Linked DNA regions of Oryzias latipes. The protein of the gene in region 1 binds, or shares a complex with, the protein of each later gene. Links are inferred from orthologs where the notes say so. Each region holds a gene or a part of one and is shown on either strand. Other genes may lie near its edges.

The links.
Region 2: the proteins of nfkb1 (region 1) and txn are in contact, whole or in part, in an NMR structure (PDB 1MDI), measured with the Homo sapiens proteins. The link is inferred for Oryzias latipes from reciprocal best matches to the Homo sapiens genes NFKB1 and TXN. Residues at the interface, in NP_001158884.1 of Homo sapiens: Arg56, Phe57, Arg58, Tyr59, Val60, Cys61, Glu62, Gly63, Pro64; in NP_003320.2 of Homo sapiens: Thr30, Trp31, Cys32, Pro34, Met37, Ile38, Asp58, Val59, Asp60, Asp61, Gln63, Ala66, Ser67, Val71, Lys72, Pro75, Ser90, Gly91, Ala92.
Region 3: the proteins of nfkb1 (region 1) and kpna4 are in contact, whole or in part, in a crystal structure (PDB 7LFC), measured with the Homo sapiens proteins. The link is inferred for Oryzias latipes from reciprocal best matches to the Homo sapiens genes NFKB1 and KPNA4. Residues at the interface, in NP_001158884.1 of Homo sapiens: Glu357, Glu358, Val359, Gln360, Arg361, Lys362, Arg363, Gln364, Lys365, Leu366, Met367; in NP_002259.1 of Homo sapiens: Arg96, Lys97, Leu99, Ser100, Ser101, Asp102, Arg103, Pro105, Phe133, Trp137, Thr140, Asn141, Ala143, Ser144, Gly145, Thr146, Ser147, Thr150, Gln176, Trp179, Gly182, Asn183, Gly186, Asp187, Asn219, Trp222, Val225, Asn226, Arg229, His230.

The regions. Positions count from the first base shown.
Region 1 is NC_019868.2:30,823,168-30,831,271, forward strand, and holds the start of nfkb1 (nuclear factor NF-kappa-B p105 subunit), read left to right. Parts: upstream 1-3,486; 5' UTR 3,487-3,741; intron 3,742-4,647; exon of another isoform or gene 4,648-4,666; intron 4,667-7,813; 5' UTR 7,814-7,818; coding exon 7,819-7,857; intron 7,858-8,104.
Region 2 is NC_019876.2:18,249,110-18,257,183, reverse strand, and holds txn (thioredoxin), read left to right. Parts: upstream 1-4,057; 5' UTR 4,058-4,254; coding exon 4,255-4,278; intron 4,279-5,476; coding exon 5,477-5,581; intron 5,582-6,251; coding exon 6,252-6,317; intron 6,318-6,519; coding exon 6,520-6,585; intron 6,586-7,136; coding exon 7,137-7,199; 3' UTR 7,200-7,500; downstream 7,501-8,074. Other genes in the region: svep1 (sushi, von Willebrand factor type A, EGF and pentraxin domain-containing protein 1), read right to left, coding at 7,791-7,821. UniProt on the Homo sapiens protein: Participates in various redox reactions through the reversible oxidation of its active center dithiol to a disulfide and catalyzes dithiol-disulfide exchange reactions.
Region 3 is NC_019871.2:13,521,081-13,529,161, reverse strand, and holds the start of kpna4 (importin subunit alpha-3), read left to right. Parts: upstream 1-3,810; 5' UTR 3,811-3,972; coding exon 3,973-4,041; intron 4,042-5,993; coding exon 5,994-6,038; intron 6,039-6,183; coding exon 6,184-6,273; intron 6,274-7,715; coding exon 7,716-7,745; intron 7,746-7,880; coding exon 7,881-7,933; intron 7,934-8,081. Other genes in the region: arl14 (ADP-ribosylation factor-like protein 14), read left to right, coding at 1,333-1,647, 1,875-2,183. UniProt on the Homo sapiens protein: Functions in nuclear protein import as an adapter protein for nuclear receptor KPNB1. Binds specifically and directly to substrates containing either a simple or bipartite NLS motif.

The DNA.
Region 1 (8,104 bases):
GAAAACACAGACGTCCATGGATCTGTTGGTCTGCAGGTGGATGATCGGAAAGGGGCGGAGCAGGGAGACTTTGGCCCCGCCCATTGTAGCTACATCACTGCTACAAGCTTTTTCAAACTGCATATTTTCGTCTGCTCCGGATTTTCAACCATTTAATTAAAGAAATACTCAGAAATGCAGTTTAATCTAAATTTTCTTTGTAAATGTCATCAGAATAATTCTACCTGTTAGAACCAAACACACAGTTTTCATTAGAGGGTCTTTAAATTCCAGGTGGTCTCCTGGTTTCACTGGCATTGGCCTGCCTGCAGAAGACGCGTCTCTCTTAGGACGGATTCTATCAAAGCTTTTCTTCGTGGTTCCTTGGAGTGTTGTGACTGTTCTGGCTGTAATCTTGGGTTTTGGTAAAGCAGTTGCGACGTTTTGGTGCTGACCACCACAGTTTGAAGTCCTGTGCTCCTCTGGAGGTGGGAGTGTTGTGTCAAAGCCTCAGAGCTCGTTTGTTGGACCAGCGTGAGCTCTGCCTGCGTTTGGACAACAGGGGGCGGCAGTGAGCGGCTTCCCTGTAGATGAGACGTCATCGTGGCTGAAGCTCTGTAGTGCTTCCCTCCTGCCTGCAGTCAGATGCCTGCAGCCATCACCAGTAGATGCCTTTCTTTTCCCATCATGCCTGCACAGCTGTTGGGGGTTCACATTACAGAGGGTGCTCATGGGGGGGCGCAGACAGGAAGCACACACTAATCGTTTTTTCTCCGCATTAATGTCGTCTTTGGGATTTTACAGTTAAGTTTTTATCTACAGTAAGGAGACCAGCTGCCCCCCAGGTCCTAGCTCCTGCACCATATTCACAACTCTTTCAAGTTTAAATCTGATTTAGTGAAAATCCTGAAGATATTTGTGTTAAATTGTGTGGAAACAAAGACACAAAAAGCATTAGTGATTTTCAGTCATAGTGCAGTCGGGGGCTCCTCTTCATATTGACACTGCCGTTCACTTTGTGATGTTGCTGCTTTTATCTCTGCTTTCACCTCTGTTGTGAGTGTGTGGCTCCGCCCCCTCAGGCTGCCGGTGGGTGGAGCCTCGCTTCAGTGTGTCGCGATGATGTGTGTGGTGCCGCTCTCGTGCCTCAGAACATCCTGCAGATGTTTTAATGTTTGTACTTACGGTCTTAGATGACGTGGATATTTCTGCACACAGACGCTGTTTTTATTTTCAGCTGTGATGGTTAAACTGTAAATTGCACTAATTGTTTCCCAGATTCTCCTAGATGAGATGTTTGGACTCATGCTGAACGTCGTCATCACTAAAGTGGAATGTTGGTGTTGTAGACATTTCTCTGCAGAATTTCTGTGTGTGAAATCACATTAAAAGAAATACTAAACAGTGGTGGTTTGTTAGTTTGTTGCTGAGTTCCAGACCATGGCAGGATCCACCTGGACCAACCAGGATCCACCTGGACCAACCAGGATCCACCTGGACCAACCAGGATCCACCTGGACCAACCAGGATCCACCAGGACCAACCAGGATCCACCTGGACCAACCAGGATCCACCAGGACCAACCAGGATCCACCTGGACCAACCAGGATCCACCTGGACCAACCAGGATCCACCTGGACCAACCAGGACCAACCAGGATCCACCTGGACCAACCAGGATCCACCTGGACCAACCAGGATCCACCTGGACCAACCAGGATCCACCTGGACCAACCAGGACCAACCAGGATCCACCTGGACCAACCAGGATCCACCTGGACCCACCCGGATTCCACCAGGACCCACCAGGACCCACCAGGATCCACCTGGACCCACCCGGATTCCACCAGGATCCACCAGGACCAACCAGGATCCACCTGCACCCACCAGGATCCACCTGGACCCACCAGACTCACGTGACAGACACCATGTCAGCTGATGGGCCGCTCATGCCCAGCTCAATCCAGAAAAGATTCCTTCAGAAGGAAGGCGTTTTCCTTCAACTCTTCAAAGTCTTCTCTGACACCTGTCAATCTGTAACCATCCCAACCCTTAGCCACTCTAACCTGCTGCATGCCCTTCCTTTCTCACTCTCTCTGCCTTGCTCATCTGTACAGGTCAGTCTCTCCCTCTTAAAGGCCCGTTCACACCGGGACGAATTTCGCCGGCGATTTTCGCCGACGTTTAACGCCTCGTGACTAAACAAAGGGCACCAATGTGAGTGTGCACACCGACGCGAAAAAACGCCAAGCGCCAAAGCGTCAAAAAAAAAAAACGCCTCGGGTTCGTTTTTTTTTTCCGACGCGTCTCGTCGAAATCTATTCGACCAATGAGAATGGCGCTTTTGCTCACGTGTCTGGAGCTTCTGAAGTTACAGTAAAACACAACTTGGGGGCGCTCAAACACAAAACTGCCTTGCTGAGCACACATACCAGCGAAGAAGTTAGACGCCAAGTAGCGTCAACACTGCCGCAAAGAAATAATGACGGACATTCTAAAATATCCCCTTACCAAGCACCAGTTGGAGCTACTGGTGCTTGAAATATTCATGTTTTCTTTGTATTATTCTGACTAGCGCGTAAATACTTGCTCTCTTTTTCAGAGTGAAAAGCGACTTTAAGAATCGTAAAGTTGCGCAGCGCCACCTTGTGTACAGGAGTATTTCTGTTTTACATTAAGCGCCATCTAACGTCAGGGAATGAAATTGCATGTTCGCTCGGCTCATCGTCAGCGAAAATCGCCTGGGTGTGAACACAAAAAACGTGGCGAAAAACGCTGGCGAATAACGCCTGGCGAATATTCGTCCCGGTGTGTACGGGCCTTTAGTCTGTAGAAACTCCTGCACCTCCTCATTCCACCACCAACTCTCCTGTCATCCTTCCGTCCTGATGACCAAGTACACTCCTACCTGCCTCATCTGGGAGTTTCTCCTGACCACCCAGAGCCTACATTACCTTTTCGTACAAATATCCTTCAGGGTTGAATCTGTTTCAGGAAAAGGTATTTTGCTTTACAGGCTTGTCTGGACATCATTTAAGCTGAAGATGTTTTCTCCTTTGAAACCTTCTTTGCTGTGGATCCATCCAGAATGAAGGAGAGTCCGCACAGATATTTAGTTTGTTCTTCCCCTCAGTAATCCTTACATTTTAAAAATATTCCCGGCTCACTGAAGATAAAAAATAAACCATTTAAGAACCTGAAATTAACACCATAGCTTAAATTCTATCCCGTCTATAAATATGGTTGGTGTGTTTTTAAAAAGGAAATCCTGATCTGTCTCTAACATTACATTCTTCCTCTTTCTGGATCCTGTTGATGGTTTCGGTTTGTCTTGTTGTTCTGGTTCTGTTTGTGGATCCTCCGCGCGTCTCTTTGGTTTGTGTCGCAGAAAAGTTTTTGGGGACATTTTCGCTTTTGCGCTCAGAGTGACACCTCCTCGTTTTACCGCGCTCTCTGTTTCCTTTTACGTCACGGGGAATTTCCAAGAGGAAGGAAGTTGCTTTATTCTCACTTTAGCGCGCGCCCTGTCACCTGCGCTCGCGCTCTCCAATACGTCACTCTCTCGCGCACATTTGTTTCTTCGTTTTAGCTGTTAGAAGCTGCAGGCACGCGCTCGTGTCGTGTGATGACGCATAGCCGTTAAAAAAGGCAGAAATTCGCTCCGACAGAATAATAAACAAAAAAAACAAAAAAATGAGCGAGAGCCCCTGAGGTGAAGCGGCACGAGAACCCTCACCTGCGGACGTTCACCTGAGCTGAACAGGTAAGAACCGGGTCAGAACAGACCACGCCACTTCCTTTCACTTCCTTGTTCTTCGGACATTCGTTTTCGCGCGCGGACTTTACCACAACAAAGAGGCAAAAAGTAGAAATACACTCATTTTATTCCAAGTTTATTGTGTTAATAAGGTGACGGTCGCGTGCTCGCGGCAGTACGGCAACAAAGACAAACCATAAAGAATCTGACCGGAAAACGTTCGGAAACGAGGGAACGTCGGCTCATGGCGGTTTAAGTTTAACACGTGGCGGAATCTCTGACTGTTTGGACCGGACCGTGAACGCAGCAGTCAGACTGGAAGAGCCCACGCACGGGCTCACCGTGGGACCGACAGCAAATGTGTAAATGTGTTCTAAAAGAACGTAAACAACGAGCCTCGCGGCGTTCAGGAGGCTGAGCGAGTTCCCGCGCAGCAGGCACGCGCACAATCAGATGTTCCTACCCAAATTCCGAAGTTGAAAAAAACGCTTTAATAATTGGCACGAAGGATGGGAACATTTTTGTTTTCATAAAAAAGTCCTGGACTATCCCCGCCCCCACCCATACTGTTTACAAATAGGCAGCTGGTTTGTTTATCTGCTGCTCTGTGTTGTTGTTGTTGTTGTTGTTGTTGTTGTTGCTTCGGTTTGAACTGCCAGACAGAACTTTGAGGGTTCTGTGTTATGGGAAGGTTGATTCAAACCTGTCGATGGTGACGGTTTCTGCCTCTTCAGTTTGGAGGAGGTTCTACTGTCATCATCATCACTTTCACAGATGTTCCTGCAATTAAAGAACAAACTGTTAGAACCTCGCTTAAGTTCTTGTCTCAGCAGCTTCTGGAATCACCAATGAGAACACGATGCAAAAGGTCATGAGACCTCCACATTGGCAGGTGAAGCATCTTCTTAACTTGTGGGTGTAGTCTCTGCAGGTAGGTGTAGTAGGGCGTCTGCGTGGATGTAATTGCTTCAGTAGGGCGTCTGCGTGGATGTAATTGCTTCAGTAAGGAGTCTGCATGGGTGTAGTCACGGCAGGAAGCCGTCTGCGTGGATGTAAGTGCTTCAGTTGGACGTCTGCGTGTAGTCACTGCAGGAAAGCGTCTGCATGGGTGTAGTACCACGGCTGTGTGGGTGTTATTGCTTCAGTTGGACCTCTGCGTGGGTGTAGTTGCATCAGTAAGGAGTCTGCGTGGGTGTAGTCACTGCAGGAAGGCGTCTGCTTGGTGTAGTACAGCGTCTGCCTGGATGTTATTGCTTTAGTAGGGCGTCTGCGTGGATGTAATTGCTTCAGTAAGGAGTCTGCATGGGTGTAGTCACGGCAGGAAGCCGTCTGCGTGGATGTAAGTGCTTCAGTTGGACGTCTGCGTGTAGTCACTGCAGGAAAGCGTCTGCATGGGTGTAGTACCACGGCTGTGTGGGTGTTATTGCTTCAGTTGGACCTCTGCGTGGGTGTAGTTGCATCAGTAAGGAGTCTGCGTGGGTGTAGTCGCATCAGTAAGGAGTCTGCGTGGGTGTAGTCGCATCAGTAAGGAGTCTGCGTGGGTGTAGTCGCATCAGTAAGGAGTATGCGTGGGTGTAGTCGCATCAGTAAGGAGTCTGCGTGGGTGTAGTCACATCAGTAAGGAGTCTGCGTGGGTGTAGTCACATCAGTAAGGAGTTCGCGTGGGTGTAGTACAGCGTCTGCGTGGATGTTATTGCTTTAGTAGGGAGTCTGCATGGGTGTAGTCACTGCAGGAAGGCGTCTGCGTGGTGTAGTACAGCGTCTGCGTGGATATTATTGCTTTAGTAGGGAGTCTGCGTGGGTGTGGTCACGGCAGGAAGTCGTATGCGTGGATGCAATTGCTTCAGTTGGACGTCTGCATGGGTGTAGTACCGCGTCTGCGTGGGTGTAGTCGCATCAGTAAGGAGTCCGCGTGGGTGTCGTCACTGCAGGAAGGCGTCTGCGTGGTGTAGTACAGCATCTGCGTGAATGTTATTGCTTTAGTGGGGAGTCTGCGTGGGTGTAGTCACGGCAGGAAGCCGTATGCGTGGATGTAATTGCTTCAGTTGGACGTGTGCGTGGGTGAAGTCGCATCAGTAAGGTGTCTGTGTGGGTGTAGTCACTGAAGGAAGGCGTTTGCATGGGTGTAGTCACTGCAGGAAGGCGTTTGCATGGGTGTAGTCACTGAAGGAAGGCGTCTGCATGGGTGTAGTACCGCGTCTGCGTGGGTGTAGTCGCATCAGTAAGGAGTCCGCGTCGGTTTAGTCACTGCAGGAAGGCGTCTGTGTGGTGTAGTACAGCGTCTGCGTGGATGTAATTGCTTCAGTTGGACGTCTGCGTGGGTGAAGTCGCATCAGTAAGGAGTCCGCGTAGGTGTAGTCACTGCAGGAAGGCGTCTGTGTGGTGTAGTACAGCGTCTGCGTGGATGTAATTGCTTCAGTTGGACCTCTGCGTGGGTGTAGTCGCATCAGTAAGGAGTTCGCCTGGGTGTAGTCACTGAAGGAAGGCGTCTGCATGGGTGTAGTACCGCGTCTGCGTGGGTGTAGTCGCATCAGTAAGGAGTCCGCGTCGGTGTAGTCACTGAAGGAAGGCGTTTGCATGGGTGTAGTCACTGCAGGAAGGCGTTTGCATGGGTGTAGTCACTGCAGGAAGGCGTTTGCATGGGTGTAGTCACTGAAGGAAGGCGTCTGCATGGGTGTAGTACCGCGTCTGCGTGGGTGTAGTCGCATCAGTAAGGAGTCCGCGTCGGTTTAGTCACTGCAGGAAGGCGTCTGTGTGGTGTAGTACAGCGTCTGCGTGGATGTAATTGCTTCAGTTGGACCTCTGCGTGGGTGTAGTCGCATCAGTAAGGAGTTCGCCTGGGTGTAGTCACTGAAGGAAGGCGTCTGCATGGGTGTAGTACCGCGTCTGCGTGGGTGTAGTCGCATCAGTAAGGAGTCCGCGTCGGTGTAGTCACTGAAGGAAGGCGTTTGCATGGGTGTAGTCACTGCAGGAAGGCGTTTGCATGGGTGTAGTACCGCATCTGCGTGGATGTAATTGCTTCAGTTGGACCTCTGCGTGGGTGTAGTCGCATCAGTAAGGAGTCCGCGTAGGTGTAGTCACTGCAGGAAGGCGTCTGTGTGGTGTAGTACAGCGTCTGCGTGGATGTAATTGCTTCAGTTGGACGTCTGCGTGGGTGAAGTCGCATCAGTAAGGAGTCCGTGTGGGTGTAGTCACTGCAGGAAGGCGTTTGCATGGGTGTAGTACCGCGTCTGCGTGGATGTAATTGCTTCAGTTGGACCTCTGCGTGGGTGTAGTCGCATCAGTAAGGAGTCCGCGTAGGTGTAGTCACTGCAGGAAGGCGTCTGTGTGGTGTAGTACAGCGTCTGCGTGGATGTAATTGCTTCAGTTGGACCTCTGCGTGGGTGTAGTCGCATCAGTAAGGAGTTCGCCTGGGTGTAGTCACTGAAGGAAGGCGTCTGCATGGGTGTAGTACCGCGTCTGCGTGGGTGTAGTCGCATCAGTAAGGAGTCCGCGTAGGTGTAGTCACTGCAGGAAGGCGTCTGTGTGGTGTAGTACAGCGTCTGCGTGGATGTAATTGCTTCAGTTGGACCTCTGCGTGGGTGTAGTCGCATCAGTAAGGAGTTCGCCTGGGTGTAGTCACTGAAGGAAGGCGTCTGCATGGGTGTAGTACCGCGTCTGCGTGGGTGTAGTCGCATCAGTAAGGAGTCCGCGTCGGTGTAGTCACTGCAGGAAGGCGTCTGCGTGGTGTAGTACAGCGTCTGCGTGGATGTTATTGCTTTGGTAGGGAGTCTGCGTGGGTGTAGTCACGGCAGGAAGCCATCTGCGTGGGTGTAGTCGCATCAGTAAGGAGTCTGCGTGGGTGTAGTCACTGCAGGAAGGCGTCTGCATGGGTGTAGTACCACGGCTGCGTGGGTGTTATTGCTTTAGTAGGGCGTCTGCATAGGTTTACTCACTGCAGGAAGCCGTATGCGTGGGCTCAGTTGGACGTCTGTGTGGGTGTAGTAGGGGGTCTGTGTACTGACACCGCCCACATGGTCAATGGACAAGAAGCTTCAGATTCAGCAGATGATGATGGTTTAACCTTTGATCTCTGCAGACGCCATGGCTGGAGACGACCACTACCTCCGTGCTTCTAACCAGGTACGTTCTTCCTGCTCTGCAGGGGGTGGAGCCTGCAGAACAATGACCCAGATGTTTGTGAAAACCTCATTTTTGGACAGATGTTCATGATGTTTTCGTAGTTGAGCTGATCTGCTCTGTGAAGATCATGGTCCACATGGGTGGGTTGGCGGTTTGGTTCCCTGGTCCCACATGAAAAAGTTGGTGAACCCCTCATAACCTCCGTTGGGCGTGTTTCTTCCAGCTGAACCTTCTACCATCCTGTCCC
Region 2 (8,074 bases), on another chromosome or scaffold:
TACAAATTATTAACATACATCTTTCCCTCTCGCCTCCAGATGGAACTCTCAGGACTTATTGCTGAATCACAATCTGGCTTTTTAAAGAGCCATTCAACTCATAATAATAAAAGACTGGTTATGGACATTATTGAATACTGACATCTTATAGAAGACAATGGTTTTATTTTATTTTTGGATTTTTACAAGGCCTTTGACTAGGTGGAACATCCGTTCATAAAGGCAGTACTGGAGAATTTTGGTTTTGGCACTAAATTTAATAACCTTGTCTATGGTACATATCAGAATATCAATAGTTGTGTTATCCTTCCTAATGGCACCACCCCAAGTTTCAAAGTTGATGTAGGAATCCCTCAAGTTTGTCCCATCTCCCCATATCTGTTCTTATTAGCTACTGAGATGTTGGCCATTTATATTGATGTAATTGTAATGAGATAAAAAAGTCAAATGTCTTGGGCACAGAGATCATTATTAGCCAGCTAGCAGATGACACAACACTGTTTTTCAAAGAGGAGCATCAAATTACAGCAGCTATTGAAAAAATAAAACACTTTTCCAAAGCATCAGGGTTAAACTTAAACTTAAAGAACTGTGAACTACAGTATTGGCTATTCATGACACACCTGTAAAAGAAATCAATCATATGTCCATTAAATCAGAAATTAAATACCTGTGCATCTACATCAACAAAGACCAAAAAATAAGCTAATCAAGCAATGTGGGGGAAAAACTTGATGAATGTAAGATGAGGTTGAATATGTGGCTCCAAAGAGACCTATCGATGCAGGGCCGGATCTATCTGACAAAGATGGAGTGTTTGTCAAGATGTATTCACCCATCTTACTCTAATGCCATCCCAAACAAAATGATAAAATCCATCTGCCAAATGACTTTAAACTTTATTTGGAGAAACAAGCATCATCACATGAAAAATAACTATATGGTCAAAGAATTTAAAGATGGTGGTCTCAAAGTTATGAATTTTGACTGCCGTAACGGAATCCTATAGATAAAATCGTGGATCAAACACAACCAATCCTTCTGGTTTTTTGTCCCAAATTATTTATTTAACAAATCAGGCAGCTTAAAGTGTGTGCTTATTAGTGATTTTGATGTTAATAAGCTCCCTATAGCATTATCAGAATTCCATGAACAAATTCTGCTATACTGGAAAATATTGTATGTGCATCACCAAACTTAAGTACTATTTGGAACAATGAATACATGCTCCATAGAAACAAGTCCTTGTTTTGTGCTGAATGGTTTGGGCAAAGTGTTTGGTCGGTGACTGATCTGATATACACGAAGGGCAATTTTTTAGATTATGAGCAATTGTGTTTAAGACATAACTTCAATCCTCCTATCTCAGGATTCTTAAAAGTACGTAATGCTCTTTCTCGAGAATTAGTATTTCTAACAAGGAACACAATGACACATGTAATGATAAAACCACAATTAGCCACATTATCAACTGAAGCATGCCCTCTTATGGAAAAAAATGTAATAACTCTTTTATCAGAAATTGGTTAATTGAAAGATTATTTCCTGGACGATAGAACAAAAATAATATATTACAGAAATGTGAACAAAATGTTGTTTCTAAATTCAGAACCAAATTCATGAAACTTCCTATTCTCCCAAAAGTTAAAGAAACACACTTCAAAATTATGAATAATATTCATCCCTCCAAAGAATTACTTAGATTACGTTTCAACATTGATGACAACAGCTGTTCCTTCTGCCAAACTGCTGTTGAAGACACCGACCACATATTTTTCCTGTGTAGCATTGTACACATTTTTTGGTTAGATGTTTACAAATAGTTGAAAAATAAATTCCCATTCATTGTGAACCTTTTTTTAAAAAGAAGTCATAATTTTCGGCATATCACTACACAAAAATGTATTTATTTATGTATCAATACCATTTTATGAATAGTCAAGTTTTTTATACACAAAAACAATTACAGAAATGTCACCCCAACATTACCTTCTTTAATGCAGAAGTCAATTTATACTTAAAACCCCTAAGATTAATCAATTTACCAAAAGCATAACAGTTTATGATATTCTGAGCGATACTATCTGAGACGGTTTATTTAGTCATTGTTGTACCAACCAGCATTTGGTGTCACTATTAAACTCTGAAATTGTTGTTTTCTTGTGTCTTGTGTATTTGCACGTATATGTATGCATATTGATAAGTACTCTATTTTATTTTGTTTGTGCTTCCTTTTCAATTGCTATATTCTTTCTACTAGTATCCACCATATTTTGGGATGTTTTTGGTTTGTGTTCGATAAAGTTCTTTAAAAAAAAAAAAAAAAACTCTGATTCAGCATTTTATGTACTCTTCCTGTTTCAGAAATGTTATAAACTGTGTACTTATTTTGCAATAACCTTCGATCCCACTAGAGAGCCCTATTGCATTGCAGATGAGCCAGAGACTGTACTTCTTCTGACTATTGTATTTGTGTTTTGTTAGGGCTGTACCAACTGAAGATGGTGGACACACAAGCATCCTGAAAGCCTCAAGAGGCTGATGGCGTGGTTCAAACAGGTAATGTGGAGCATCAATCAGGAATGAAAAGATTTCTGTGTCACTGCTATTAATTGTATACACACATGACGCCTCTGCAGGGAAAACTGCAATGTCGGGAGCACGTCACCAAAGGCTTTGAAAACATGCCAGCTGCTTTTAAGGGGATGCTGAAAGGAGACAACACTGGCAAAGCCGTTGTTGCTGTCTGATGGATGACCAATAAAGGTCTTTACACAATTAATGAAGGAGGATTTTACATATACTGCACTGAAAAATAACTACAAGATATGTATTGTCTTTTCAGTGTTTAGTGAATTAATTTTATTTTTAAAATACATATGTGTGAGATATGTCTGTATTTCTCAATAGAATGTAGTTTTATTTAAATTGTTTAGTATTTTTCTCTTTTTTTCCCGGACAAACGTAAATAAAAAGATTGTTTTCTTACAGCTGTGACACGGCTTCTACCTGAACGGGGAAAAAAATCCAAAAGTGACATTTGCTTGTTTTACAGCGACATAGATAAAACTGTAACCAGATATTGTTGTTTATTCTATAATAAAGGTTGTTTTTGGTCTTTATTGATGTATGCTGGTATTGCATGCATTGCCTAACTGATTTGAACTTGCATCATATTTTAAAGAATGGAATTATGCAAAGATACTTTTAAAAAATGTTTTAAGGTCTAAATTAGGCAATTCTTAGGCTTCAAATGAAGTTTCCTTATTTTTACGATAGAACCTGTTGGAACATTCACATATGTAGTCTAAATACTCAAATTCTTTATTCAAATATGTAAATGGAAAAACAAGTCTTTGTGTACCATCTTTTAGAATTAATCTTCTGATTAAATCACTTCCCTAAACTTATTCCAACCATGATCAAACTGCAATAATTTGTCTAAATATTGCAATTTTTTGTTATAGTATGGACTTTTCTGTTTATTGTTTACCCCTTACTTTAGTTGTAAAAGAATAAACAAATAAAGTCTTTTTAAGCTATTACGTAATAAGACTAGTGCAGGGGTGTGGCCTCATGGGCGTTGACCAGAGTTTGTACAAGGAAATATGGTCTGCAGTGACCATGTTTACGGTAGTACAGAAATTTGCCAAGTCATTGTGATTCGACTGTCTGATCAAGCGTTGACGGAATTAAAAACAAAAAAAGTATTTCAACTTACTATCGATATAATTCTCTAAAAGGACGCGTTATTGTTAGTAGATTAGTTTTGCAAGTTATTTTAAGCCGCAACGAAACAACAACGAAGCACTAACGGGCCTCAGATATATATAGCCTGACATCACCGATTCTGTAGTTTTTATTCTCAGTAAAGAGCTAAAATATTTGCAAGAATCCAGGAAAGGAAACCATTCTGTTTATAACTTTCAAAATAAAAGTATTTTTCGTGAAGCTTTACCAGTAATAACACAACTGCTGATACAACATGAAATCAAGTACGGTTACAACACATTTCATGCACAATCATAGTGGCAATGACGTATACACACGGCGTTCTTTTAATATAAATGATTCGCTTAAACATAAAAGACTGGCTTTTATTTTGTTAGTCAACCCATCAGCTCTTCCGCTGCGACGTGTTAGTCTGACGCCGTTATAAATAGGGCAGGTCATCCTCTTTGACTGAAAGTGTGGTCTTTGCGAAGCCGCTGTCTTTTAGATTCAGCGAGAGTTTGCCTTTTCAAAACAGCAAACATGGTCCGTGAAGTGGCTGATCTTGTAAGTAGTTCTATAAATACAATTAATCATGTCTTTATTTATTTCGCTGTACTACTACATACATTCAGGACAGCACAGTTGACGTTAGGTAGCCGCGCGGTTATTTTCTCAGCAAGCTTCTATCTACTTACCTTTTTTGCAAGAAAAAAAAACCCTGTTAAAGCATTTATTCGCTTAGAGTTAGCATGTTTATTGTCGTTGATGGAATAAATTACTCCGACAGAATAACTCTGGAGGCTGTATTGCTAATGTTTAGTTGTTTTTTCTTTTTTTCCATTTTCTACCCATGATGCACGAGGGCGGACTTTGCTATCTTGTTGCCGCGCGAACACGTTGCCAGGGTTACAAGTTTTCGGAAAGGTTTTACCGTTAACTAGATAAAAAATCTTTTAGTAATACACCAAAAAAACGTTCCTATCATGGCTCAGATGAGCAGAAAGCTACAATAAAGTACTAGTTTGAGTAAAAGTCAACTCCTATTTGCGACACTTGGACCATTCCGCTAGGCCTCGGGCCGCCTCTGTCCGTGTGTACACATGCCTGGATGTCAAAACTGCTGAAATCATTCAGACTTCTGGGTGTCACTGGTTGCGTCCGAATTCCTTCACTAATCACTACAAAGTGCACTGTGCGTTCGCCATTTTGTAGTGCTGTCCGATTCTACAATTCCAAAATCGAGTGCCCTGCAAATTTCCCAGAAATCTCCGCAAAAAAACAGTGTGCATCAATGCTCACTAGATCTGTGAATATAGATCACAATGCATGGCATCAAATCTATTTTTGCTTAAAAATGTATTTAAATGTACTTTCTGAACAACCTGTCAAGTGTTTTTATCTTCAGAAGACTGATAAATGATCCTCGCAAAATGCTCCTATCAATTAGATTTTAACTTCGTGAAATCGATGACGTCATATCCGCCGTAAATTAAAAAAAAAAGTAGTGGGCATGGTGTCCAAATTGCTTTTAAGTCGGTGCACTCTATAGTTTTTTTTAGAAGTTGGGGGTTAGGGTGGGAATTCAGATACAGCGACTGCTTTTGATCTGGGGCTGTTCTGCTAATCATTAGCCAAACCTTTGATAACCACTTATCGTTACACTATGGGAAAGCCTGCTGACAAAATGAAGTAATTTATTTAAACGAATTCTTTACCTTTATGCTTATTTAAAATAAATGATGGAAACATGCTTTTTTTGTAGGCAGAATTCAAGAAAATTCTGGAAGACGCTGGAGACAAGCTGGTGGTTGTGGACTTTACTGCATCATGGTGTGGGCCCTGCAAACAGATTGCCCCCTTGTACAAGGTAGATAACTGGAGCTTAAAGACTTGATCCGATGAAAATGTTTTTAACATGTTTTTGTGCCCATTTTCTGATAAAGGAGAACATGTATAAAGAAATTTAAGCTTAAAAATGCATTTCTGAGTACTTCTTTTTCTTATTGTGAATCAGTCACAGGCAAGAAAGGACAGTTTTGACAGAGCTTGTAGTTGTAATGTAGAAGCTACAATCTGCAGGCCACAAGCTCCCTGCTCCACTCCATACTGATGCCTCTACTTGCAGACAAATGGATCCATGTACGTCTTTGTTTTCCTCGTCTGAGCTGTCATCCGGCTCAAAACTGTATGCCTGATAGCTCCGATATTGCTCACCATTTTTGTTTCACCTGTAGTGTTAGGTTGGGGGTTTGATGGGCTTTAAGCTAGTCGGAGAGCTCGGAAGTTACAACCCCTCTCTGTCAACCGTCCCAACCAGCGAATAGAAACAGGGGGACCAATTGAAAACGGTGTTTAAATGTAGATGCATTGTTACTATGGCAACCCTATAAGGTTTACCTCCCCACTTCAAGGAGAGGAAGTGCTTGTTCACAGGAAATGGTCCAACACACACCCAGTATGATTTTTCAGTAAAAGTGCTCTGTTTCTGTAGAGTTGAGTCTAATGTACTGTTGTTGTATGTACTTGTTGTCTTGCAGCAAATGTCGGAAAGCGATGACAACAAGAATGTGGTTTTCCTGAAGGTGGATGTGGACGAGGCTGATGTGAGTGTGCACGTTCTCCTCCTTGGCCAGTACAAACTAGCTTTGTTTTAATGGGCAAAACCAGCTTTTGTTTTTAGTCTCTCTACTTTATGAAAGCGTTAGGTTGCAATTGGGGGCCAGCAACAATAATTACTTAATAATTGTATTTTTATTTTTTTTAATTTTGATTCATAAAAAAAAACTGTTGCTTTTTCTCTTTCAGGATATCAGCAGTTTCTGTGAAATTAAATGCATGCCTACATTCCACTTCTACAAGGGGGGCAAAAAGGTAAGTAACTGAGTGCAGTAGTTGAAAAGTTTATAACTTTTTACAGAGGTTCTGATGACTTCCTTTAAAAAAAGAGACCCTGTGTCACATGGGATCATTAAGAGAGTCTTACTGTATTTTTCAAACCATAAGGTTATCTTAAAATCCTTGTATTTGTAAAATACTATTTATAAATTGAGTGTACTTACTGCCCTCAAATTGATTTCCTTTGGTACATGGGGCCCAAAAATCTGCCAAAATGTTTTAGTTTGACTTGTGATGCGTCCCGTCTGTCAAATGTTGTGGAATGAGTTGAATGAAGTTTAAGTTTACTTTGTCTTTTTTGCTATTTAAAAGGAAAACCTCTTTGTCTTTCTTTAACCAGAGAGCCATGTGTGCCCTGGTTTAAGTGATCCCTGTTTAAGCCCTGTGTAAGCTTGACTTAAACAATTAAACCAGCCTGGAAGCCCTAATGTCCATCCTGCAGTAGCAGAAACGGCTAGTTTTTGTTTGCAAATATTAGATCTCACCTTTTCAACTTCTGTCATTTTTTTATGTTTTTATTTTTCCAGGTGGATGAGTTCTCTGGTGCCAACGTTGCAACCCTGGAGGAAAAGCTGAAAGCACTGAGATAGGAGTAGAAGTCAGACTGACCAGAGCAGAAAATAAAACGCATAACTGATAAAGTCTTCACCTCATAACACACCCAAAGAAAGAATTGCAGCTAAGCGTCATGTTTAACTGCTATCAAGTTTTGTTTTTTTCCCCAATGTTGGCACTAACTTGTCATCTATCCTGAGTTGAACAGTTTGTGTACTGCATTTACTTCAGTCCAGGTTTTATTTTTTTATTTTTTTTTTCTACTCTAACCATTTATGAAGTTTGAGTAATCCATGTTACCTCTGTATGGATTTAATAAATGAATCAAACCCTAAACTGCCCGACTACAAAGAGCTTCTAATAGCATTTAATGCTTTAATAGAAATGTGACAATAGTTTACACATAAACACTGGAACGGTCACATCAATCTTTTTTTACACATCATACAAGTATATATAGCAGCGCATGTTTAATACTGTTAAGTCTTTATATGAAAAAATACAGCTTTAAATTTACAAACTGGTTCTTTTTTTGACTTTGAAGAGAAATGAAAAGTTGGCAAGAGTCCAGAAACTATACAGGAAATCCCTTCATTAGATGATTCACATGGAGGTGACTGGAACCTTTAGAAATGGTAGTAAACAGATTTCCTCTTCCTGCAGGGAAGAAGAAAAAAAAAGGTTTTAGCACAAATAGCTTAACATCTGCGTTCAAGCAGAATTTGAAAAAGTTTGAATAAAAAGTGATTTTTTTTTTTCCTATGGAATAAATGCAAATATTATTTTACTTAATTGTGAATCTTAAGGTGCCACTGAAGGTATTAAAGCACGTTTTTAAAAAAATACTTTCAATGTTTGAACTTTTAAGTACAAAAACGAACTCAGAAAAGGGGTTTTTACATGAAAAGCC
Region 3 (8,081 bases), on another chromosome or scaffold:
CATTCAGCTGAGAATAACTGTTCAAAAGAGACTTTCATGAGCTAAACAGTGTGGTACGCATGGATGTTGTTAAATATTAAGATGTAAGAATTGAAAAAATAAACAATGAGTATGCGCAAAGGGGCTGTTTGTTGTTCCAGACTCCTGTCAGCTGTTAAGGAGTCTGATGGCAGAGGGAAAGAACGAGTTCCTGAGTCCTGTAGTCCTGCACTTCACACTCGTGTACCTCCGTCCCGAGGGGAGGAGAGTGCACAGATCTCGTTGCAGTTGGGTGGGGTCCTTGATGATGGAGGAAGTTCTCCTGTGGATCCTGCGTTTGTAGATGCTCTGAAGCGAGGGCAAAGGCGTCCTGGTGATCTTAGTCGCAGTCTTTACCACTCTCTGCAGGCATTTGCAGTCCATGGCAGTAGAGCTGCCGTACCACACTGTGATGCAGCTGGTCAAGATGGACTGTAGAAGTTGCTGAGGATCTTTGTGGACATGCCGAACTTCCTTAGCCTCCTCAGGATGTACAGCCGCTTATGAGCTTTCTTCATCAGCTGTGTGGTGTTAACTGTCCAGGTGAGGTCCTGGCTGGGGTGGACCCCCAGGTATTTAAAGCTGCTCACCCTCTCCACTTCCAGACCCCGGATAAGCAGCAGCTGATGAGGGTTCCTCTACTTCCTCATGTCCACTATCATTTCCTATGTCTTGTCTGTGTTGAGGGTGAGGTTGTTGTCCTTACACCATGTCACCAAAGTGGCCACCTCTCTCTTGGAGGCTGCTTCGTACACTAGTAAATTTCTTATCAGCTTACAGAATTGTTTTCAAAAATTGAACACATCACAAATTACGTGTACAAACTAAAAGTAAAATAATGTATTGAATGTTAATAGTTGATTTACTGATTGTGCAACTTTCTTCCAATATTTATCATCTATAAAAGTGTGCCAGTCCTTGGATCAAACCACCTTTCTCCATCAGCTGGGGACACCGAAGCAAAGCTGTGAGGTTAGTGCTGATAGACATTCAGCCAGGAGGGAATTTGATCTTCCCATTGTTTCAACTGAACTTCCTGTTTGCGGCAGTGTTGGAGGACTTTGGGCACGTGGGACGTGATTCTACATTCTGTTCTCTGGTTGTGAGCTGCATGTATGCACTGTCACTGTGGGTAAAAATAGCTTTCCTGAAAGCCGTGACAGCATGAATTTGGTCACAGAGGGGAGGGGTCACATGGTCTTCTTAAGGCACCAGTCTCAATATAAGCTCACAAAGCACAGACACACAAGCCTTCATACAAACTCAAGAGGATAAAGAAACTTTTCTGAAAGGGAACTTGTGCTCCACTGGAACATGGGTACGCGTGGATCCAAACCCAAGAAACAAGCGCAGGTCTTGATGCTGGGTCTGGACGGCTCAGGGAAGACAACACTGCTCTACAAACTGAAATACAACGAGAGCGTGGTAACTGTACGGACGGTGGGTTTTAATGTGGAAACCCTGGAAACCGACAGGAGCAGTCCAGAACTGACAGTGTGGGATGTTGGGGGTCAGAGGAAGATGAGGCCCCACTGGAAGCATTACTATCCTGACACCGCTGGCTTGATGTTTGTGGTGGACAGCTGGGATGAGAAGAGGCAGGATGAGGCCTGCAAGGAACTCCATCGGGTATTTCAGTTCATGTCTAACCTTGATCAGAAAAAAAATACAAGTGTTCCTATGTATATATGCATTTTTATTGTTTCTGAAGCAGTGAATGCAATACTAAAAAACAATTATTCCGAAACAAGTTAAAAAAAAAAATCTACAAACTATTCATCAAAAAAAGGGAACAAAATAAAAATCTTGATTTTGTTGATTTTAATAATTTTATTATTATTCTTTTTACCTTTTAGGTTCTGAGACACAAAAGTCTTAAAGAAGTTCCTCTTGTAATTCTGGCCAACAAACAGGATCTCCCTGGTTGCTGGAGTCCAGAAGCCCTCAGCCTGAAACTGGACCTGAGAAGGGTGTGTGCTGGAAGGGCGTGGTTCATTCAGCCCTGCTCAGCCGTCACTGGGATGGGGCTTGAGGAGGGTTTCAGGAGAATGGTGTATTTGATGAAGACTCCACTGAGGCAGACTCAAGAGCACATCAAGTTAACGATGAAAGCAAAAGGCTTGAAGTTCACATCAGCAAAAAAAGTCTTTTTTTGTTGCAGCTGATATCTCTTTTGTTCATGCTGGATTTACTTTTGTCTTCTTATGCTGCGTATTTGCAGACAGCAAAGCGGATGCATCTATGAGCTCAAAGAGGTTAGGGAGAAGGGCGGCTTCCCAGAAATCATGGAACAAGCAGAAGATCTGCTGGGAATAAGAAAATAAGAAACCAAGAGCATTAAGGGAAAGCTTTTGGGTTTTGAGGATATACATTTATATATAGATATATAAATAGATATCTATATATCTATCTATCTATATATATAGATAGATAGATATATGATATATATATTTTTATTCAAAATGTGTTTGTCTTCTGAAACAAAATGATATTGATTTAATGACTTGTACCAAATCAGTGAGAACTTAACCCTTGTGCTTTCCTGTGGGGTCCAGATGACCCGATCCTTACATTGACGTGTTCTTCCTACCATGACAAAGGTGGATTAAGGTGAATAGGATTTCATGTAATCCATGGACACCAGTGAAATCATTGAAGAAAAAATGTTCAGCGCACTGTCTTGTGGGGTCTAGATGACCCAACTCCCAATGTTAAAGTGACTCAGATAGCACAAAGGTTACAGCAGATTTATTAGTTCCCAAATGAATAAAGTAAATCTCTCATGTTGATGTTTTTTTTAATATTGGAACTTCAAATAAATGTAATTTTTATGAAGATTTTGGGTTTAAGGTGTTAAATATAAATATTCATAAAATATTATGGAAAAGTATAGTCATTTCCATGATTCCATTGAAAACATTGTCCAGATTAAAATAGTTTAAAACATCCGTGCCCCGCAGAATTTGGACAGATTTCACCACAGTATTCAGATTTACTAAAAGTTTGTTTTCGTGGTTTTAATGAGGTGGAACCCAAATTTATGTAAAAATAAATAAATATTAGAAATCAATTAAACAGTACACTATATTCAATTTTTAGATCTAATTATCCAAATGAATAGACTTTTCCATGATGCTCTATTTTTAAAATGGTATTCAATAAAAATCGTGATACTACTGATAATTTTGTAGTTGTAATATCGAATATAATGGCAACATGGTGTGAAACTGGGAATTACATTTTTAGCATTGTATTGTAGAGAAAAAAGACAGTTCTCCGATCTAGAATGCCTTACTTCTTAATACTATGCCAAAATTGAGCAATCCTATTCCCTTTTTTTATTCAGATTTTGACTGCCTTATGAGAAATAGCATAAACTAATTCATTATATATATATATATATATATATATATATATATATATATATATATATATATATATATATATATATATATATATATATATATATATATATATATATATTATATAATATAGTATAATAGTACATAGTATAATATATAATATATATATATCTAATATATATATAATTTTATTATAATAAAAAGAATTTAGAATTTTACAATTCCCTAATGAAAACTCCTTAAGAAATGATGCGACATGGATAGGGTTTTAGTGAAATGACATATTTAAGTTTAGGTGATCACGAATCAAACGTCTGCCTTCCTAAACATGAGCAGACGTGAGTCGGTATAATGCGGTGTCTTCTGCACACAGACGTGAGCGGTGAAACCAATGAGAGTGAGGGGGATTTCCCCACCCTTCCCTTACGCCAGAGCGAGGCTGCCCTCTACCACCGGCATTCCCAGTATGCACCGCGGACCGAGCAGCAAAAAATAGTCCACTAACGAAAGACTGCGAAAAGGGAACCAGAAACAGATAGCTTACCGGCTAAAACTCTGTCCAGTAATATTTAACGTAATCAGAACTACTAACATGGCCGACAACGAGAAACTGGACAACCAGCGACTAAAGAATTTCAAGAACAAGGGCCGAGATTTGGAGGTAAAAGTTGCGAAGATCGGTGTCCTCGCTTTCGTCTGCACAGCCGCCGCGCTCAGCCTTGCCCCTCGGCTCCGTTGTGACGTCGTTTCTAATTTACACCACGGGCAACTTTGCTGCCAGAAACTGGCGAGGGCCTTCAGAAATCAGTGTTTATTGGAGGCTGGAATCGTTGGGTCAATTTCGAACTGGTTTCGTTTTATCCCGAAACCGTGTTGGGTGTAAAACATGTCAGAAAAGCCTCCGCTGGATCAGCTCTGCTAGCCACCAGCTAGCAAGGCCTCCGGGAACATGCTAACTCCACTGATGCATATCATCCCCCAGTTCGGTCTCGCTCGGTCAGAAATGTTAACAGCTTGCATACAATTATTTACAAAGTACTTTTACGTTATCTTCTGAGAATGTGGTGTTAAGTTAAGCTAAAACAACGACAGATGTTCGTACTTCTAACATTGCAGTTAGCCCAACTGCGTGCTAGGTTAGCGCGGCGGTGCTGTTGGCTGCAGTTCCACCCATCCCCCGTCTTTATAATCAAAAACAATGGCGGAAACAAGTAAGCTTCTAACATGACCACTTATATTAGGCTCAAGTCCACACCAATAGTAATATAGTTCTATTTTATGCGTTAATAGGACGTATTCTCAGGAGAGCAGTCTCCCCTTAACACGTTTACTACATGATTCATAGATCAAAGCTGGACGTTGGTTCATCATGTCGGATCAATAAGTTACCAGGTGATTTACAGTCAGGTCAACGCGTAGCTGTTAATGCATTCCAGCTAGTATTGATATCGGTTTCAGGTGGGGTTGCAGACGCAGGAAACCACGCATCCTGTTTGAGAAGGTACATATATGTTGCGAGGGGGGCGTCGATGATTGTTACGTTAATTATTCGACTTTCAACTCGAGAACCGCGCGTGAAATTCGTTTCTCCAATGATAAACTTTAAGCATCAACACCAAGGTTCAATACTTAATGTAAATAACTTCTAATGCATGCAAAGGTTCACGAGGAATTGAGTCAACAAACATTGTCAATTTGCATTTACTTTGCCTCCACTGTGTGCATCTGACGTAGAATTGTTTCAGAGGGCGGCGGCCACGTGGGACAGTAAAGCTGCACCTTTACCGTGAATAGAAACACATCTAATGTCACATCATGCACTGCAACCTGTAGACATATCCGCTTCTGAAATAAATTTGGCTTGATGTAATTACTAAGCTGGTAGCTGAGGGAGGAAGTGCGTGCGATTTTCAAGATGTTTTTAGTGGGTTACCAGATCACTTCTCTCATTCATAGTTCTATTTTAAGTCATCTCTGTCATATGACATTAATATGTTTACTATTTTTGGTCAGTGTTATCACTAATAAAACAACTGACTGTGTGGACACAATTGAGACATAACTGGTCATAGTGAGGATCCTAACAAACTATGGTTTTAATATTTGCAACAGGTTTTGCTTGACTAGAAATCGAATAAAGTAATGGGTAGATGAATAATCTTGTATAGGAAAACCCTAAAAGTGATCCTTAAGGTCTTCTTCCAGTCATGTTGTTTTGTTGTAACTATTAACCTGCTTTTTCTTTTTTATTGAAAAAGCTTGCTATACTACCATTTCCTAAAAATGCAGTTCCCATTTTTGCCATTTTACTTTTTTTTCTTTTTGCATATGATACAAATATGTCAAAAAAGAACAATGAAACCTGAAAATGTAAAAATGATGTATCGGTCAGGTACTGTAGTTCTTAAAGCTGAGTTACATTTAGTCAGACTTGTGATACTCATTTGTAGTTGCAGACCTCTGCTTTATAGATGCTGTAGACTTAATGCCCAGACGACCTGCATCATCAATACCCGAATATACACAGTACCCTGATATTCTCATTTATTTCTCTAAATTTGTTTGGAAGGTTGAAATTTCCTAATTTAACTAAATTTAATATTTTCCTTGCAGACGATGAGAAGACAAAGGACTGAGGTTGTCGTGGAACTTCGAAAGGTAAATAAACTCTTTACTTAAGCCATTATTTAATTAATATTGCAGAATGCTCTCAGAATTGAATATTCAGCTATATTTTATATATACTTTGCAGTAACATAAATGGATGATTAGTGAAGTGAGCTCACTAACTTTTTCATTACAGAACAAAAGGGACGAGCATCTGCTGAAGAGGAGAAATGTTCCCCACGAGGACCTCTGTGAGGACTCTGATCTTGATGGAGATTTCAGATCAGTGAGTTTATCTTTCAAATATTCCTTTTTTACACCATTATTCAGAAAAACCATATATTGCATGTTTGAATTGCAATACTACTATTAGCAACAGGGATGACAGCTTGTCAGATATGGTATAGACTGAATTTGTACTGAGATTTTGTACATTTTTGGAAAGTCTTCAGATGCTGAGCAGGTTAGGTTTAGACTTTTGCATTTAGGATGCTGCTTTATTTTGTACTGACTAGGTGGGGCAAGATTGTTTCAAAGTGTGCAGTTTGTCTTGCTATGTACTCATTTTTCTTGATCAATGTGCACAAAAGCTTCAGTTGTTGCTCAAGATACTTACAGGCACAAAGAATGAAGCATTTCTAGATATTTTAGAGGCGCTATAAAGACAATAGATGGGTGACAGATGAAAATCTAGAAAATGTCTTAAAGCTGAACTAAGTGTGTTTGATCTGGATTCAGATGACAGAAAATTTAGACTGTTGGATAAAACATGCATTGAAGTGTTCAGTCTAGAGAAAAAAATCTGGTTCCTTTTAACAGCCAGGTGTATAAAGCTCAATTCACAGGGTGATACTTGTATCATAGTGCATCAGCAATGACAAGACGATCTCTGAATGGCATCTGGAGTTACTTGGCAGCTAAACTAGTTCTACAATTCTTTGTGTGCATACTTATAAGAAATCGATTTATTTTTATGAGTATTCACAAACAGTGAAATACAAATGTGTGTGTTGGTGATTTGTAATGGCCATTCAGTTTGTAAAAGATTCAGTGTAAATGCTTAATAGACCGGAGTTTGACTGTTTAAAAAAACACATTCCAACTGTAAAGGATTTCATTTGTTTTCTTGCCTGAGGAGCTTCTGTTGTCGTCACCAGTTCCAACCAGGCCATTTTGAGTGCTCGTTTTCAAACCTACATAATGATATCTGGTATATAGCACAGTTTTATTATAGATATAAAAGATACAACTGGCAGTTTAATAATTTCCCACAACCATCAAATGGAGTCACAAATATAAACTTTCTTTTTACCCAATAATTTTATTTTATTTTGTTATTTATCTCCAAATCGACTGCTAATTGTCCTCAGTGTTGACAATTTGGACTAAATCGAAGGAATCTGGTGGGTTTTTTTCTTTTTCTCTGCCATCAGCCAGGCTAACTCCCAATTAGGTTCCTATTCAGAAACAGTCTGAACTACTTATGGAGTTATCATGTTAAGTTGCCAGAAGGCACATTGCCATGCTAAATACTGGCCTCGTGTCTTAACCTCCTGACTGATTCTCAACACATTTTCGGGTTAAGTAACCAAGCTCATTTTCTGCTCTGGTTAGTTTGTTTTTGAATCATAAGACTATTTGAGCAAGGTTTCTGTGTTTTAAGAGCTTTATGCACCAAATATGAAACATAATTCAAATGCAATAACTCCAGGAAACTTTCTTTTGCAGCAAAACACCTCTCTTGAAGCAATAGTACAAGTAAGTCACTATTTAATTTCTCCTTTGGAATTTATGGTCTTGCTAACGGAATTTTGTTGTCCTTATTACCAGTTTTATAAAGCACGTATTTATTCAGTTTCACTGACTAATCATCTTGTTTCCTTTGATATATAGAATGCCACTAGTGACAACCAGGGTGTCCAGCTGAGTGCTGTTCAGGCTGCTAGGTAAACACACTTTAGTTTGTAGTTTTTGTTTGTACTTTAACCAAAACAAAAGTCTTAGTATTTTTTGCTCTGTGGAGCAAATGGTGGACTCATTTGAAAACATCCATAGTTGCAATATACGTCATTGTCCTAAAGACTTGATATTTCA